Linked DNA regions of Cricetulus griseus. The protein of the gene in region 2 purifies or fractionates together with the protein of the main gene of each other region. This does not show direct contact. Links are inferred from orthologs where the notes say so. Each region holds a gene or a part of one and is shown on either strand. Other genes may lie near its edges. The genes, in order: Dis3l, Exosc5, Hbs1l and Zfc3h1.

Evidence for each region.
Region 1: the proteins of Exosc5 (region 2) and Dis3l purify together in Homo sapiens (affinity purification with mass spectrometry; 5 studies listed by BioGRID and IntAct, with this or other methods). This does not show direct contact. The link is inferred for Cricetulus griseus from reciprocal best matches to the Homo sapiens genes EXOSC5 and DIS3L.
Region 3: the proteins of Exosc5 (region 2) and Hbs1l purify together in Homo sapiens (affinity purification with mass spectrometry; 3 studies listed by BioGRID and IntAct, with this or other methods). This does not show direct contact. The link is inferred for Cricetulus griseus from reciprocal best matches to the Homo sapiens genes EXOSC5 and HBS1L.
Region 4: the proteins of Exosc5 (region 2) and Zfc3h1 purify together in Homo sapiens (affinity purification with mass spectrometry; 3 studies listed by BioGRID and IntAct, with this or other methods). This does not show direct contact. The link is inferred for Cricetulus griseus from reciprocal best matches to the Homo sapiens genes EXOSC5 and ZFC3H1.

Annotation. Positions count from the first base shown.
Region 1 is NC_048597.1:175,922,898-175,926,462, forward strand, and holds part of Dis3l (DIS3-like exonuclease 1), read right to left. Parts: intron 3,174-3,565; coding exon 3,019-3,173; intron 2,917-3,018; coding exon 2,738-2,916; intron 1,002-2,737; coding exon 856-1,001; intron 151-855; coding exon 1-150. UniProt on the Homo sapiens protein: Catalytic component of the RNA exosome complex which has 3'->5' exoribonuclease activity and participates in a multitude of cellular RNA processing and degradation events.
Region 2 is NC_048602.1:9,460,857-9,464,863, reverse strand, and holds the start of Exosc5 (exosome complex component RRP46), read left to right. Parts: upstream 1-1,160; 5' UTR 1,161-1,208; coding exon 1,209-1,356; intron 1,357-3,873; coding exon 3,874-3,987; intron 3,988-4,007. Other genes in the region: Bckdha (2-oxoisovalerate dehydrogenase subunit alpha, mitochondrial), read right to left, coding at 570-656. UniProt on the Homo sapiens protein: Non-catalytic component of the RNA exosome complex which has 3'->5' exoribonuclease activity and participates in a multitude of cellular RNA processing and degradation events.
Region 3 is NC_048595.1:268,535,245-268,539,261, forward strand, and holds the start of Hbs1l (HBS1-like protein), read right to left. Parts: upstream 2,866-4,017; 5' UTR 2,729-2,865; coding exon 2,686-2,728; intron 97-2,685; coding exon 31-96; intron 1-30. UniProt on the Homo sapiens protein: GTPase component of the Pelota-HBS1L complex, a complex that recognizes stalled ribosomes and triggers the No-Go Decay (NGD) pathway.
Region 4 is NW_023276806.1:140,718,275-140,721,839, forward strand, and holds part of Zfc3h1 (zinc finger C3H1 domain-containing protein), read right to left. Parts: intron 3,268-3,565; coding exon 3,136-3,267; intron 2,772-3,135; coding exon 2,229-2,771; intron 2,138-2,228; coding exon 2,028-2,137; intron 972-2,027; coding exon 840-971; intron 745-839; coding exon 623-744; intron 1-622. UniProt on the Homo sapiens protein: Subunit of the trimeric poly(A) tail exosome targeting (PAXT) complex, a complex that directs a subset of long and polyadenylated poly(A) RNAs for exosomal degradation. The RNA exosome is fundamental for the degradation of RNA in eukaryotic nuclei.

The DNA.
Region 1 (3,565 bases), on a different chromosome or scaffold from region 2:
GTAACTGACTGCCCTCCAGCTGTGGTAGAGGTGATCTTGTTCTGAGATCGTTGCAGGGATCCTGGCTTCCATTCTGAGCTGCCTTCTGGGCCACATGAGATCACTAAGCCATCTTTATTCTTCAGATAAGCAGCACCTTTAATTCCAAACCTAAAATCATCAAAAGGGTAAAACCGAGATAATGTATTCTTAGTTTGCAGATCTTCTATGCTTAGCCACTCTTCCTGTGGTTCACTTCCAAAAACATTTTTACAGAAGCAGATAAGAAACAATGCTTTGCTGGCTAAGATCCTAAGACTGATACAGATATGCATATATATGCACTCCTAATTGCTCCCATTATTTTCTGACTACTGTATACTGTGTACATACAGTAATTTTATGAATAGTGTATATATGTAGCATTGCATATGCTAATATATAGTTTGAGAAAATCTCACTCTGTAGACATGGCTAGCCTAGAGCTTGCTTTGAAGACCAGGCTGGACTCAAACTCAGAGATCTGCTTCTGTCTGCCTCTTGAGTGTTGAGATTAAAGGCATATCCCACCATGCCAAGCTTATATTCTTTTTTAGAGATAAGGACTCATATAAGCTGGCATCAGAATCATTATATAGCTACAGATGACCTTGAACTTCTGATCTTGCTTTACAGGCATATGTCACCATACCTGGTTTTATGCTATCTGGGATCAAACCCAGGACTTCATATGTGTTAGGCAATCATTCCACCTTTGAGCCACACACCCCCAGTCTAAATAAATATCTTAGTAAGTTATATATATATCTATTGTGTTCAGCACTGGTATAATTTAACTGTGATTTCTCATTAATTACTGCATGAGAAGTAACATACCTTGGTATGAATACAAGCACACCATTTGTTCTAATTGAATAAATCACTCCATCGGCCATGCATCGCTCCTCTGTTTCTGGGTCTCTGTCTTTAAAGTACATGCACTGGAAGAGCTCGGTGGACTGCTTCTGAGAATGCTGGGCTGCCTGTAAGAAGCACAACCTGGAGCATGACAACAGAGTTCCCTGACACCCAGGAAGAAACAGGAAACTCATTCCCACAGAAACTGCTTTTAAATGGATGGGATTCAACAGTGTGGTGGTGCAAGCCTGTAATGCCAGTACTTGGGAGACCAAGACAGGAGGATTTGCCGTCCAGAGTAAGCTGTTGTTTCAACTAAACCAAAGAAGAAGAGACACAGCAATACCTTCTCAAAAAAGAAAAGAAAGCTGGGCAGTGGTGGAGCAAACCTTTAGTCCCAGCACAGCCTCTAAAGCCACAGAGAAATCCTGTCTCGAAAAATAAAAAAAAATATAAAATAAAAAGAAAAGAAAAAGAAAAAATAGATCAAGCAGCAGGTAAGACGTGAAGGGAAGGCTCCTCAGTGGGTAAAAGCTCTTTCTGTGCAAACCTTATCACCGGAGTTCAACCCCCAGAACCCATGTAAAGCTGGATATGGTAGTGCATATCTGTAATCCCAGCATTCCTATCACTGATGAAAGGCAGAGACGGAAGACTTGGCCAGAAGCTCACAGCTGTGCTCACCAGCTATCCTGGAGTGCACAGTGCAGCAGCAGAAACAACCTGTCTCAGAGACAAGGTGGAAGGCAAGAACTAACTCCTGAAAGAGATTAACAACTCCCACAAATTGTCCTTTGACTTTCACTTGAATGTATAGATACATAAACACAATAAACAAATAGAATTTAAGAGGTTTTAAAGATACGAAAAATTAAGCGAGGTGGTGGTGGTGGTGCTGGCAGCAGCAGCAGCTGCGCACGCCTTTAACCCCAGTACTCAGGGGCAGAGGCAGATGGATCTCTGAGTGAGTTCCAGGACTGCATAGAAAATCCCTGTCTCACTCGGGAGGCATAGGCAGGCGGATCTCTGTGAGTTCGAGGCCAGCCTGGTCTCCAGAGCAAGTGCCAGGATAGGCTCCAAAGCTACACAGAGAAACCCTGTCTCGAAAAACCAAAAAAAAAAAAAAAAAAAAAAAAAAAAAAGAAAATCCTTGTCTCACTCCCCCCCTTCCAAAATTCTAGACAATGCTAACTTTTGAGGGGGGGCAGGATCTCACTATTGTGTAGCCCTGGCTGTTCTGGAACTCACCATGTAGACCAGGATGACCTCAAACTCAGATCTGCCTGCCTTTGCCTCCCAAGTGCTGGAACTAAAGGCATCTGCCACCATGCCTGCCCCCCCCCACACACACACATATGTGTATCTTGCTAATGTAAATCAAGCTAGCCTCAAATTTTAAACCTGCATGCCCTGAATGATGGGGTTATACCATACCCAGCTGCTTGAACCTTTATATCTCTACCTTTTGGGACAGGCCTCTAATGCTAAGTCTGGCATAGAACATACAGAGGCTGAGCTGGAAGGTCACTTGAGTCCCCTGAGTGAAAGAAAACTCAGCCTGGGGAAATAACAGTGAGTCCTCATCTGAACAAAACAAAACTGCCAGGCATGGTGGTACACACCTTTAATCCTAGCACTTGGGAGGCAGGTGGATCTTGGAGGCACAGGTCATACTGGTCTATATAATGATACCCTGTCTCAAAAACAAACAATCAAAGAGCAAGTATTCCACAAGTCATGTTATCTCAGAACACTAGTAAATGTATTAAGAGCATTGGCTACAATAATAATTCTCATTCTCTTAAGCAGTAAAGCTGATACCCTCTTATGAGACAGGTAGGAGTTTGAAATTCCTTCTTACTCTGTTTCTGTTGTTGATGTGTCTGCATAATTCCTCAAGATCTTTGTTGCTGAACAAACTTTCTTTCATTTCCATCTTCTTGTCTTTTGAAATGGCTGCCATTAATAGTCGGTGTACAACAATATCTGAATATCTTCTTATTGGAGAAGTAAAGTGAGTATATTTATCTAATGCAAGACCTTCAAAAGGAAACCAAAGCATCAGAGTAAAGGAAAGACAAGAGCACTTTTGAAAAGATTTGCTCAAGGTTAAGCCATACGTAAGACAATGCTGTCAGTCACCATAATGATGGAACTCTTCCTCTGCACAGGATCCGGTGGAGAAGTAGAGTGCATTGGACATGGCCTGGGTGGCCATGGAGCGCAGCAGCTTGTTCACCATAGGGTCGCTGGGGTCATTTGCACTATCCAGAGAGTCAGCCAGGGTTTTATTGGACCTAACAAGAAACAGAGATGCATTGATGGGTCTCCAAAGGCAATTTACATGTAACACTTTCTACTCCTTGATTTAAATATCTTCATCTACCAGCAGTTAAATTTATTTTAGCCACAAGTTTCTTTTCAATACAGAAATCTAGTTTGCTTTTAAGGCTTAAACAAAGAAAGACTGTCAAAATTTAAATTGTTTTTGTTTTTTTTTGTTTTTGTTTTGTTTTCTTTTTCCGAGATAGGGTCTCTCTGTAGCTTTGGAGGCTGTCCTGGAACTTGCTCTGTAGATCAGGCTGGCCTCAAACTCACAGAGATCAATTTTGCCTCTGCCTCCTAAGTGCTGGGATCAAAGGTATGTGCCACCACTGCCCGGCTCAGAATTAAAAATTTTAAAAATGTA
Region 2 (4,007 bases):
AAAAATATGGGCTGGAGAGAGATGGCTCAGAGGTGAAGAGCACCGACTGCTCTTCCAGAGGCCCGAGTTCAGTTCCCAGCAACCACATGGTGGCTCACAGCCATCCGTAATGAGATCTGGTGCCCTCTTCTGGCAACAGGCATATGTGGAGGCAGAATGCTGTATATATAATAAATAAAATCTACAAAAAAAGGAATAATTTTTAAAAAACAACGTTGACAAAGGGTCCTGTGTGGATTTCTCCCTTCATGACATCAACCAACATACCCCGATGGCCTGTGACAGTGATCGCGCCCGGGCCCCCGCCTTCGCTTCTGATCGGGGACCGCAGGGGTCCAATCAGCTTCTTGCTCACCCAGCTTCACAAGTGGAGTTTTAAGTAACGGAATAAAGAAACGTGGGGCTGATCCTGGCCCACCCCACCCCCGGTTTTCTCCCTCTTCCCCTGACTCTTCTCTCCAAGGAGCGTCCGCGTCCTTTTCTTTCCTTCACGACCCGCACACACCGTAAGAGCAACCTCTGCGTCCGCAGCCACCTCGGGAGGGACCCCGTGGGGCCCAGGTACTTACGGATCTAGCCAAGCCCCGCGCCCCAGGCCGCCGCAGCGACAGGAGAGCAGCCAGGCCCCGGCTCTGTCTCCACATCGCCGCCGCCATCTCGCTCGATAGCCACGCCTCCTCTCTCCCCAGCTGGACCCGGGGCTGCCCCACCAGATGCCGTCCTCAAATGCCGGCACGGTCGGGCCAACAAGCGACTTCACTCCCACCGCCGTGAGTCCAAGACACGAACCTAAGTGCGCGTGCCGATTCTGATTATCCTCCGCCGTGGCTCTAGCCTTCCGCTTATAGCGGCTCCGATATCAGGCAGGAAAGGGACACCCTGACCACAGGCTCACGGGTTGAGGGCCGGGGGGCCTTGGGCGAGGTGGGCCTATTCCAAGACCCGCCCCCTCTCCTTTCTGGCCCAATGGCTTTGCGAGAATCGGGAGGCGGAGGCGGGGCGGGACCAGATTGTTAGTAAACGCTCAGCCACGTGCCAGGGACGAGTCAGGCGCCGCCCAGGCTGGCGCATGCGCAGCGGCCACGCAGCCGCTGCGAGCCGGGCCCGCGAGCCGGCGAGCCCGCGAGCGAGCGAGCGAGCCAGCGCGCGCGTGCGCACCACGGGGGCGGAAGCTACGGCCGCAGGCGGGGCGCGCGTGCTCGGCGGCGATGGAGATCGCGAAGCGTGCGGACGCCGAGCTGGGCGCTGGCACCGCCGCGGAGCCCGGCCCGCGGAGTCCCGGCTGCAGCCTCCGGCATTTCGCCTGCGAACAGAACCTGCTGTCCCGGCCGGATGGATCTGCTTCTTTCCTGCAAGGTAAAAAGAGCCTGATCCCCAGCCCCACTGTGGGGGGCTTGGGTTTCTTGGTTTTTGGGATTTTGGGGGGGACAGGGTTTCTCTGTGTAGCTTTGGAGCCTATCCTGGCACTCGCTCTGGAGACCAGGCTGGCCTCGAACTCACAGAGATCCGCCTGCCTCTGCCTCCCGAGTGCTGGGATTAAAGGCGAGCGCCACCAACGCCTGGTGGGGTTTGTTTTCTTTTCTTTTTTTTTTTTTTTTTTTGGAAGAGCGGTTACCGTGTAGTGTGCAACCGAGTGCGCCCATCTCTTTGAAAAGAAACGAAAAAACTATTTCTAGATACGTAGGAGGGGTCCACACCTCTTCCCCGACTCGAAAAAACAACCAAAAAAATATTTGATACGTCCAGCCTGGAAGGAATCAGGGGCAAGAGCACGCCCTAGGAAGAGTGGATATTCCAGAACAGGTGTAATTTCACCAAGGCGAATAGGCCCCTTGACTAGATTTCCTTCCACACACTTCTCCTGGATCGGTACACCTCCGGTTGAGGCTAAGGTGTTCGTTTGCATGCATTCCCTTTGAGAAGGACTTGTCATCGCCGCTGGGTCAAGTGCGGTGACAGCAGCAGATGACTTGGTCCACGCGAATGCCCTTCACATTGAACGTGATGATCCCCATTCTGGACCCACAGGTATCTCCCCTTCTCCCATCCCATCATTTGAGTAAATGTGTCTGTTGCTTGGTGTATTCATCTCATCAGTGTAAGTGATTGTAGAGAGAAAAGAGGCGTCTCACGACTGACACCCACACAACCCTGCCTCCACCCAATGCCGGTCAGCCAGCTTTGAGAGGTCGTGGGAGTGTGAGGAGCTATCAAAAGTAGACAGATTGGGCCGGGCGTTGGTGCCGCACACCTTTAAATACCAGCACTTGGGAGGCAGAGGCAGAGGCAGGCGGATCTCTGTGAGTTCTAGGCCAGCCTGGTCTCCAGAGCGAGTTCCAGGACAGCCTCCAAAGCTACACAGAGAAACCCTGTCTCGAAAAACCAAAAAAAAAAAAAAAAGATGCCCCAGCAGACTACCCTACAGGCCAGTCTGATGGAGGCAGTTCCTCAGTTGAGATTCCCACCTTTCAGATCTGTCTAACTTGTGCTGAGTTGACAAAACTAGCCAGCGTAGTATCTTCACTTAAAAACAGGATTCATAAAAATGGGGTACGTTCCCCAGGGAGGTAGAGGCAAGGCCAGGTTCACTCAGCTACATAGCAGGTTCAAGGCCAGCTTAGACTGTCTAGGGCCTGATCCCAGAAAATCCAACAGTGAAAACCTACAGAGCCCATGAGCCTGTCACCTGCCTTTGTTGGCTAGCCATCTTGTTTTTTTGTTTTGTTTTTCCCTTTGGACTTTGCACATGCTAGCATCCCTAACCCCTTGGGTTTTGTTGTTTTGTTTTTGTTTGTTTGTTTGTTTTATGGCTCTCCCTGGTGCCTGAGGAGGTCGGAAGAGTATGTTGGGTCCCCTGGAACTGTGGTTACAAACCTTTGTGAATCGTCTTCTACAAGAGCGACAAGTGCTCTTAATTGCTGAGCCATCTCTCCAGCCCACCTGTGATTCACTTATACACATGCATTTACCAGTTTGGAGTTGTGGTATAGAGTGTATTGGTCATTGGGCATTACGGTCAAAATCATGTGGAAACCACTGTTTGAGTGCAGTGTCTTCACTTTGTAGATGGCTTCTCTGTAGCCCACAGAGGTTATCAAAATCACACAAGGGCCTGGAATAGGCAATCAGGGCTAGAAGCCAGGCTTTTTTTCCTCCAGACCCATTTATGCCATTCTGGGAAAATGAGCAGAGATTAAGATCCCTACCCAACGCAACTACAGACCCTTTTTTGTTTGTTTTTTGTAAGGCCTTTTAAAATATTTTTAATAGTATATATTAATTATATGTAACAATGGATTTCTTTTTGGTTGGTTTATGAGATAGTCTTGTGTAGTTCAGGGTGGCCTCGAACTCAGTATGGAGCCAAGGATGACCTTGAATTCCTGACCCTCCCGTCTCTGCCTCCCAGACACTGGGAGGATATACGTGTGTGTGCCTGTGTGTACGGGTGCCCAAGAAGGGCAGAAGAGGGTGTCCATACCTTGGAGCTGAGTTACAAGGTGATTATGAGCAGCCTGCGGGTGCCGGGAACTGCATTCTAGGCTTCTGGAAGAGCAGTGTGGGTGCCGACCTGCTGAGCTATCTCTCCAGCCCCAACTGCTTCTAAAAACTCACCAGTAGCTGAAGTCTGGGCTGGGCTCTGGACTCACTGGCCAGCATCCTGTGTTTCAAGTATCTGTATCTTTTTAAAATGGGTATTTATTTGATCTTGTTGTGTGACACTGAGAGACTGGGCTTACTGCTTCTGTGAGCCACTGTCATGTGATCTTGACAAAAGTGCCTCGAGGGAAGGACTGCAGTAGTCTCCAGTTACAGATGAGAAGGCAGAGAAGAGAGTTGGTGTGGCAGAGGCCTCTGCTGATGTCTCCCCAGGTGACACCTCTGTCCTGGCTGGAGTGTACGGGCCAGCCGAGGTGAAGGTCAGCAAAGAAATCTTCAACAAGGCCACACTCGAAGTGATCCTGAGGCCGAAGATCGGGCTGCCTGGTAACTGGACTCAGCCAAAC
Region 3 (4,017 bases), on a different chromosome or scaffold from region 2:
AAATCTTTTTTTTTTTTTTTAATAACTTACCTGTTGATGGTGAAATACAATAATCGTCCTCCACAGACTGGCCATACAAATCATCATCTTCAAAATCTAAAACACAAAATAGATTCATTACAAGTTCAATCATGTCTTCTTTATTCATGAGCAAACACCTGAATAATTTACAAAATAAGAAAATACCAACTTTCAAGAAACCTAAATGTCTACTTTTCCATAAATTCCAAGATATTTACTAATAACAATCTAAATTACTGACAATGTATACTTTTAAAACATACATAGGCCTTCTGTTTTTAAGCTAATTGGGCTTTATTTAATTTTCTCACATCTTTCATGTGACCAAAATCCAGTAATAATCCTGTAGATGATATATGTGAATTGTCTAACTTCACAAAACCTGAGGTAAGCCACCCATTGCACTCTAGGCAAATATCTTTATAGGGTATACAATCCAGCCATAAAGTCACTCTTCATGGAGAACCAGAAAGCCTGACTTTCGTGACTGTTAAGTCTTAAAATGGAGCTTGTAAGTGGAGTAAGTCAGTCTTAATGGAGTATGTTCTTGGTTGAGATTTTCCCAAGGTTGCTTCTTTCTCTAGGTAAGGCTCCAATAGTCTTCCTTACAACCTTTACCTTCAGCAGCCTCCTCTTAATTTATTGTCTTCAAAGCACAACTCATGTTTCAATGCATGAGAAATTACAGGAAAAACTTAGTTTAACCAAGTACCTGGCATACATGCGGCACTAAATTAATGTGTTCACCAGTTAATGAGACAAACTATTAAAAACCCTGCAAGGAACATAAATTTATACCAGAGACTATTACAGAGACATTTTCAGTACAAAGTGTGTACATCTCCAGCTCTGTCAACTCCAAAAGTCTAATAGCCCAGAACAGGGTGACTACAAAACTGTATGACAAGTGCTCACCGTGAAAAATACAGAGCAATCTGGGAACACACATGTGAAAACTAGAATTTCCCCAAGAATAGAATACTCAAACCAATTCCAAAAGAGAGAGTCAGCCATCTTTCTAGGGCATTCAAGAAACAGGTACAGCATGCTTAAAGGCTAAGACCAAAGAGGAACCAATAGATTTTAGACCTCAGACTAATGAAATTAAAATACTTTTATGAATTTTTAATTATTGAAACCCCAAAGGGAAGCTTAACTGGGAAGAAGACTAGACACTGAAAATGATTTACACTTTCGTAAGCAGGAAGGGCAAAAAACATCCATGACAGGACAGGGCAGGCTTGGTTATGATGTCACCAATTGTTACAAAGAAATATAACTTGACCTCTGGTAGCCAAGATAAAAGGTATTTAGCACTGACTCAGAGGACATATAACTCTTGTCAAATACTTCACGAAGAAATCCTGACCCTTTCTGATTTAGACGTTTTCTTTTACATTGCTCCCACAGCACTGTCATTACATTGTGTGGAATCTCTCTTGTTTTAACCAGCTGCTCCCTTTAGACAGTCCTTACTTAAGGAGTATCTTACGCAGTACTCCAAGTACTCAGTTATCACTGGATGAGGAAATAAAATACAAAAGGGATGGGTGTCCTTTATTTCATATCTACAAAATCTCTCCCAGTCTAAAGTCATTTCTCAGTGGGAGTGGAGTGGAAGGCATTTTTTAGATATCCACTACAATATTCTGACGGTGAACGTCTGCAAAGTAAGACATCCCTGACCTACTGGGTCCAAGTCTTCAAATGCAGCACTGGGTGTTAGCTGTCCATGCCTAAGTACACTGATGCTCACAATCTCCCAGGGGTGTCAATAACATCCGACTTCAACATTACATGTTCCCGAAAGCAGTAGGTCTTTAATCACATTTGTTTTTATTTTTAGCTTCTATGATGCTTGATAAATACCTGTTATTATCCACTCATGTATAACAAGTCTTCCTAAAATCACTTTTAACTCCTTACATACATTAATATATGTATTTTTTTCATTAAAAACATCAGTGAGTCTATTTACACGCTCTCCCCTCTAGTGTTGCTTTATATTTCCATTTTAAAATACATTTACATCAAGTATAGCAGTCAATATACTGAGTATACACTTGAAGATCAGCAAAACGACTTAACTTCTTGAGCCTTTTAAACGTGAATCTTTTCCATTTCTTAGGTTCCGAATTTTGAAATTCGCTGAAAATTCAGGTCAAGCGAGGTTATGCAGTCAAAACGCACGAACACAGGCAAGATATTATATAAATCTAATAGTTTTAGCAGGTCGGTCGAATGCAAGCACTAAGCCAGCCTGTTTTATAAGTAAGTAATGCCTCGTGGGCACGTGTGAAGGAGGGCTTATGAGACAAAAGTTAGAAACTGGCGCGTGAGTCCCCAAATGAAACAATAAGAAAAGAGGCAACGTTTAGATACCAAAGAGCATCGGATCCCAACGTCGCCACCAAACATCGTAGGCCCTTGAGATGCCACACTGTCACCCGTCCGTAAATAAGGTCAACCCAGAAGGCAGCCATCACTCTCTCTCTCTTCCCTGGGAACTGATGTCCTAATCCTTTCCCCCACCTTCTCCCCTCCTCGACACAAACCCCAGTTCTAGTGTGGCTCCGGGGTCATTCCAATCCAGGCGGAGATAATGAGGCCAGGAACCCAGCTGTTACAGCTAAGATGACGGCCCGGCGCGGCCCTGCCACTCACCTTCATCGTAGTTATAGCCTCGGACGTTCCGATGCCGAGCCATCGCGGCACACAGGGCGTCAGCCACGGTCCTCTCAAAGAACTCGGCTTAGACACGGATAAAGCGCCAACCGCGAGCTAGAGACCTCTTCCGCGCCATCTTGGCTTCCGCCAGGCCGCTGCGCCAAGCGTCTGCGCAGACGCGACGTCATACCTGCGCACTACGCGACGGCAAGCTCTCAGGGTCACAGCCGGCCTCCCGAGGACGCACGCGCACTCGCGAGCCGGCGGGCGGCGCCCAGAAGCCAGTTGACTGACGTGGATTTCAGTGCCGGAAATTCTTTCAGCTACCTCCACGCTGTTGCTTGACAGTGAACGTGACATGCAGGCATCTTTGACCACCGGCGTTCAGGATTATTTTCCATATTTGGCTTTTGATCCTTTGGGAAGCTGCCAATTTGGCTCAATAAGAGCAAGGACCAAGGATTCTGTTTCAGCTTTTAGACTGTAGATACAAACGATATCCGTCCACAATAGTGTGTAAATGTGGCATAATAATTAGTCCAAGCTTTAGAGGGAGAAAAAGTTTCTAAACAAGTAATTAAAATACAGCTACACTGGGTCACTATGCTTTGTGGGTAATTCATGGCTTCAGATATGGGCTCCATCCTCCCTTAACAGCTCTGGTAAACAACTGTCTGGCCTTAGCTATGTAAACTATTTTCATTAACACGGAATAATTAAGAGATTATGCCTTGGGCATTGATTGAATACATAAACATGTGAACTTGCTAAGAGCGTTTAGTACAAGCTTTTCAGACACAGCATTAGCCTTGGGTACTCATGATGTATTACATAATACATAAATCTATAACCTGTTATTAAACATCCTCGTTTTGTAAAACATAGGGCTAATAATGCTGTGTAAAAGCATCAACCTCATTATCATACCGAACAACCTCTTTGTTGTAGCTTGTTTTTGAATGCCAAGACCTTGTATCAAAGGCAAATGTCAAATTCTACCTTACTCAGCTTTTCTTATCCAGATAATGAGAAAACACAAATTCATATTCGTAAATGGCTCAGGTTTGAATTCTGACTACTTAATGGTTATTCTTAACTATCATTGTTTAATGGCTCCAAGGCAAAATTTTATGCAAAAAAATGTAGATGCTAATTTTATACGGTTTTTAAGTGTTTTATTTTACACCTTTAAATAATTTCTACATTGCAGCCTATCTCTTTGTAAGTGAAGATATTATCTTACTCATATATTATCTAATTTGTAAAGTTGTTAAACTATATTTGCCCATGTAAGGAAACTTAACACAGAACATTAAGGTGCTGAAAAAT
Region 4 (3,565 bases), on a different chromosome or scaffold from region 2:
TTCTACTTCACTACAGGATTTGGAGGCTAAAGACTTTAGTCCTCCTGTGCTTTTGAAAACAGCAAAAGAAAGTAAAAGTCTAGTCATCATAAGCTACTTACTCAAGTGTTACTTTTTTTTTCCCTAATAAACCAAACCATTTGGATGACTAAAGAACTCTCTGTAACAATGGAAACGTCTTAAATCTCTGCAGTCCTACTGGCCAGCACTTGCCAGTACTTTAAGTGTGGCTAGTAAGACTGATGAATTATGCTTTTATTTAAATTTAAGGGTTGGAGAGATGGCTCAGCGGTTAAGAACACTGGTTGCTCTTCTAGAGGTCCTGAGTTCAATTCCTAGCAACCACATGGTGACTCACAACGATCTGTAATGAGATCTAGTGCTCTCTTCGGGCGTGCAGGTGTACATGGAGGCAGAGCACTGTATACACAATAAATAAAAGTAAAAAACCTTTAAATTTACATTTAAAGGCCAATATGTGGCTTGCGACTATTGTGTATGATAGGGAAAATATAGGTTAAGCATTACAAGTGAATGTACTAAATTATGGGTTATTTAAAAATGCCATAAACTGGATATGATTTTTTTTAACTTCCCTAAGTTCAACAAAAACTTTACAAACCTGTTGCAGAAGCAACTTCCTCATCAGTGCTTGTCTCTGAACAGCCAATCAACGACAGATCATATGACAAAATGTCCTGGAACAACTGTTTTCGGCTAAGTGTATAGTCTTGTACATGCTGCCTAAAATAAAACAGCAGCAAAAGACAACCGTGTATTTATCTAATCAAGGAACCATGACTTTCTCTAAAGGTTTCTTCCAAATAAAAACCACTCACCACTGACAATCATCATCATTACATGTCCCTGTTAAATCAAATCGGCAGAAACACTGCTCCGGCTCAATCATGTTACTGTATGACACTGAACTCAGGGGAAGCTTTTCCTTGGTTCGATAATAAGGACTAAATCTAGAAAGAAAATGAATAGGCACATCATAGTCCATACACATTTCTCTAAGAGCTAGACATTTTCTTAAATTTTTCTTTCTCAGTTAAAACTTCTACACCTGTTTACCTAATCAAATCAATAACCACAAGTAACTACAAATAGCCAGAATATAAGTAAAAAGAATCAACTACTTTTACAATGGAAACACAAGAGACATCACGTAGAAAACTGAATGACATGGTGCCTAACTGAGTTCAAAGAAAGCCAAGACGATGTAGGAAGGTTCCAATTCATTAACAACAAAGACCTGGGAAGCATTCAGTGGCAGAGGAGCTGCCTCGTATGTATGAGGCCCTAAGTTCAATTCCTAGTACAAATAAACCACAACAACCAAAACACTTTAAGACTAGAATACAGAAGAAACAATGCCATTCCTAAGGGGTTTTTTTCTACCACACTACAAAATGCTATTTACTAGTATTTTTGTATACATTACCAGCCAATACAAATGCTAGCGTATGAGCCTATGCTGCCTATTAAATGCTTTATAATTTTGTCATAAAACCATACCCGTTTAGCAGTCCACAACTTCTGGCATTCTGAAAATGTTGTGGGACAACACTAGCCATCTAAGAATGTCTAAGTCAACATTCCAGAGGCTGGCCAATGCTAAAATTAAAAATTCTAAATTGAACAGGTGTGGTAACACACACCTATAATATGCTGTAGCACTTGGGTGGCAGAGGCAAGAAGATTACTTCAAGTTTGAGGCCAAAAAAGCAAGTTCAGTACAGCCACAGCTATGTCATGAGTGTCTATCTTAAAAAATAATAAAATTTTCCATGAGATTCTAGTCCTATAATACTTAATAGAATTTGAATCCAAAGAACACACTAAACTGCACTTTCTGATATGATCTGAACAACAGCAATACAACATATTTTTGTCTCTCATAAAAGATTTGTTTTCCAGTTGACTGTCATTCAAATGCTTCTATTTATTAACACATATTCAACGTAAAACATCAAGAACCAGAGTAACCCTGAAACTCAAACTATTAACTGTCTCTTTTTTACCTGTAAGACTTAAAGACTAGAAGAGGGCTCTGGTAGGGTCTAAAAGGACACGGCTTCACTTCTGTTGTTTTACTCTGTGCTGTAAGAAAATCCACATCCACAGAAATCTCCTGCAAAAAACAACCATCACAATAATTCCACATGACAAGTGAGGCATTGAGAAAACTCTAGATTTTATACAGACTATGAAATGCCACTTACCTGACCGTGCAGAGTCTTTTCTGTAATGCCTGTGGTAGTTTTTGAAATCAACTGTTTTAAGCTGTCAGCTTTTGAATATAATTTTTGTAGTTCACCAATTTTTAACCCTAGAAAAAGTTCTGGCTTTTCTACAGTACTTTTACTGAGTTTGTTTATGCACTCTTTGTTAGGGGTGTCAGTGTGCTTAAGGTTGGGCTTAGTAAACGCATTAGACTCTAGGAAGGATCTTCTTCGTTCTCTGTTTGAACCTGAGGAAACTTCATCATCAACCTCATTTTCTTCGGTGTCCAAGGTTAATTTATCTTGTGTCAGGTCATGAAGTGATGGTTGAGGTAAAGAAAACTCAGCTTCCTCTTCTACAACTGCAACAAGATTTTGTTGTTCCTTTGCTTTGAGGGCTCGGGCTTCTTTTAACTTTTGAATTTTCAAAGCATATTCATATTCTAGCTTTTGTAATCGTCTTTTTTCCATAGCAATTAATTCTGCTGAATGCTTTCTTGGACTTGATATTGGAGAATTATCAAATCTCATCATTTTGTTTGGCTGGGGGGAAAGTAAATATTTTATAACACTTCATGCAATCATATATAATTCCTCACAAGATAATTGTGATATCACTAGAATATAATACCAACATCACAGAACTGAATGACAAGGAGAGCCAAACAACAAGTCAACATACTTTTTCTAGTTAATCTATAACCATCAAAAATTAAAGCCAATGCAAAAAAAATTTTAAAAGCAGATATCATTTAAAAATATACATTAGATTTTATAGAGATATTAATATAATTTGTTCTCTTTGAACTTGCAGCAAAGTTGAAGTTACTTTATGCATCTTAGTTTGCAAATACCATAAACAAAACAAAAAACTTCCACTCCAAAAATATTCCTATAAGCAACTTACTCCAAGGCGGTCTTGTTCCAGTTTTCGTTTCCCAAGTTCTTTACTGGCCACTGCCTTTGCCCGAGCAAGCTCTTCTCCATACTTCAGAGTCAAAGCTTTCTTAATGGTAACACGCTGTTGAACTCTGTGAATCTGAAAATAGAAAACATATAAATGAAAATCTTAGGAAATAACCTCTCAAACACAATATCCTAACAGCATGTCTCAATAAGAGACCACAGGTTACATATATGGTGATGGTGTAAGTTCAATTTTCTCCCCCTTTGCTTTAGAGAAAACGAGGGGGGGTGGGATGATATGCAATACTGGGGCTCAGCAGTTAACTTTTCCAGAGGACTGGAGCTCAGTTACTAGCACCCAAGTCCGGCAGCTCACAACCTCCTGTAACTCCAGCTACAGGGGACACAATGCCATCTGACCCCAGTAAACA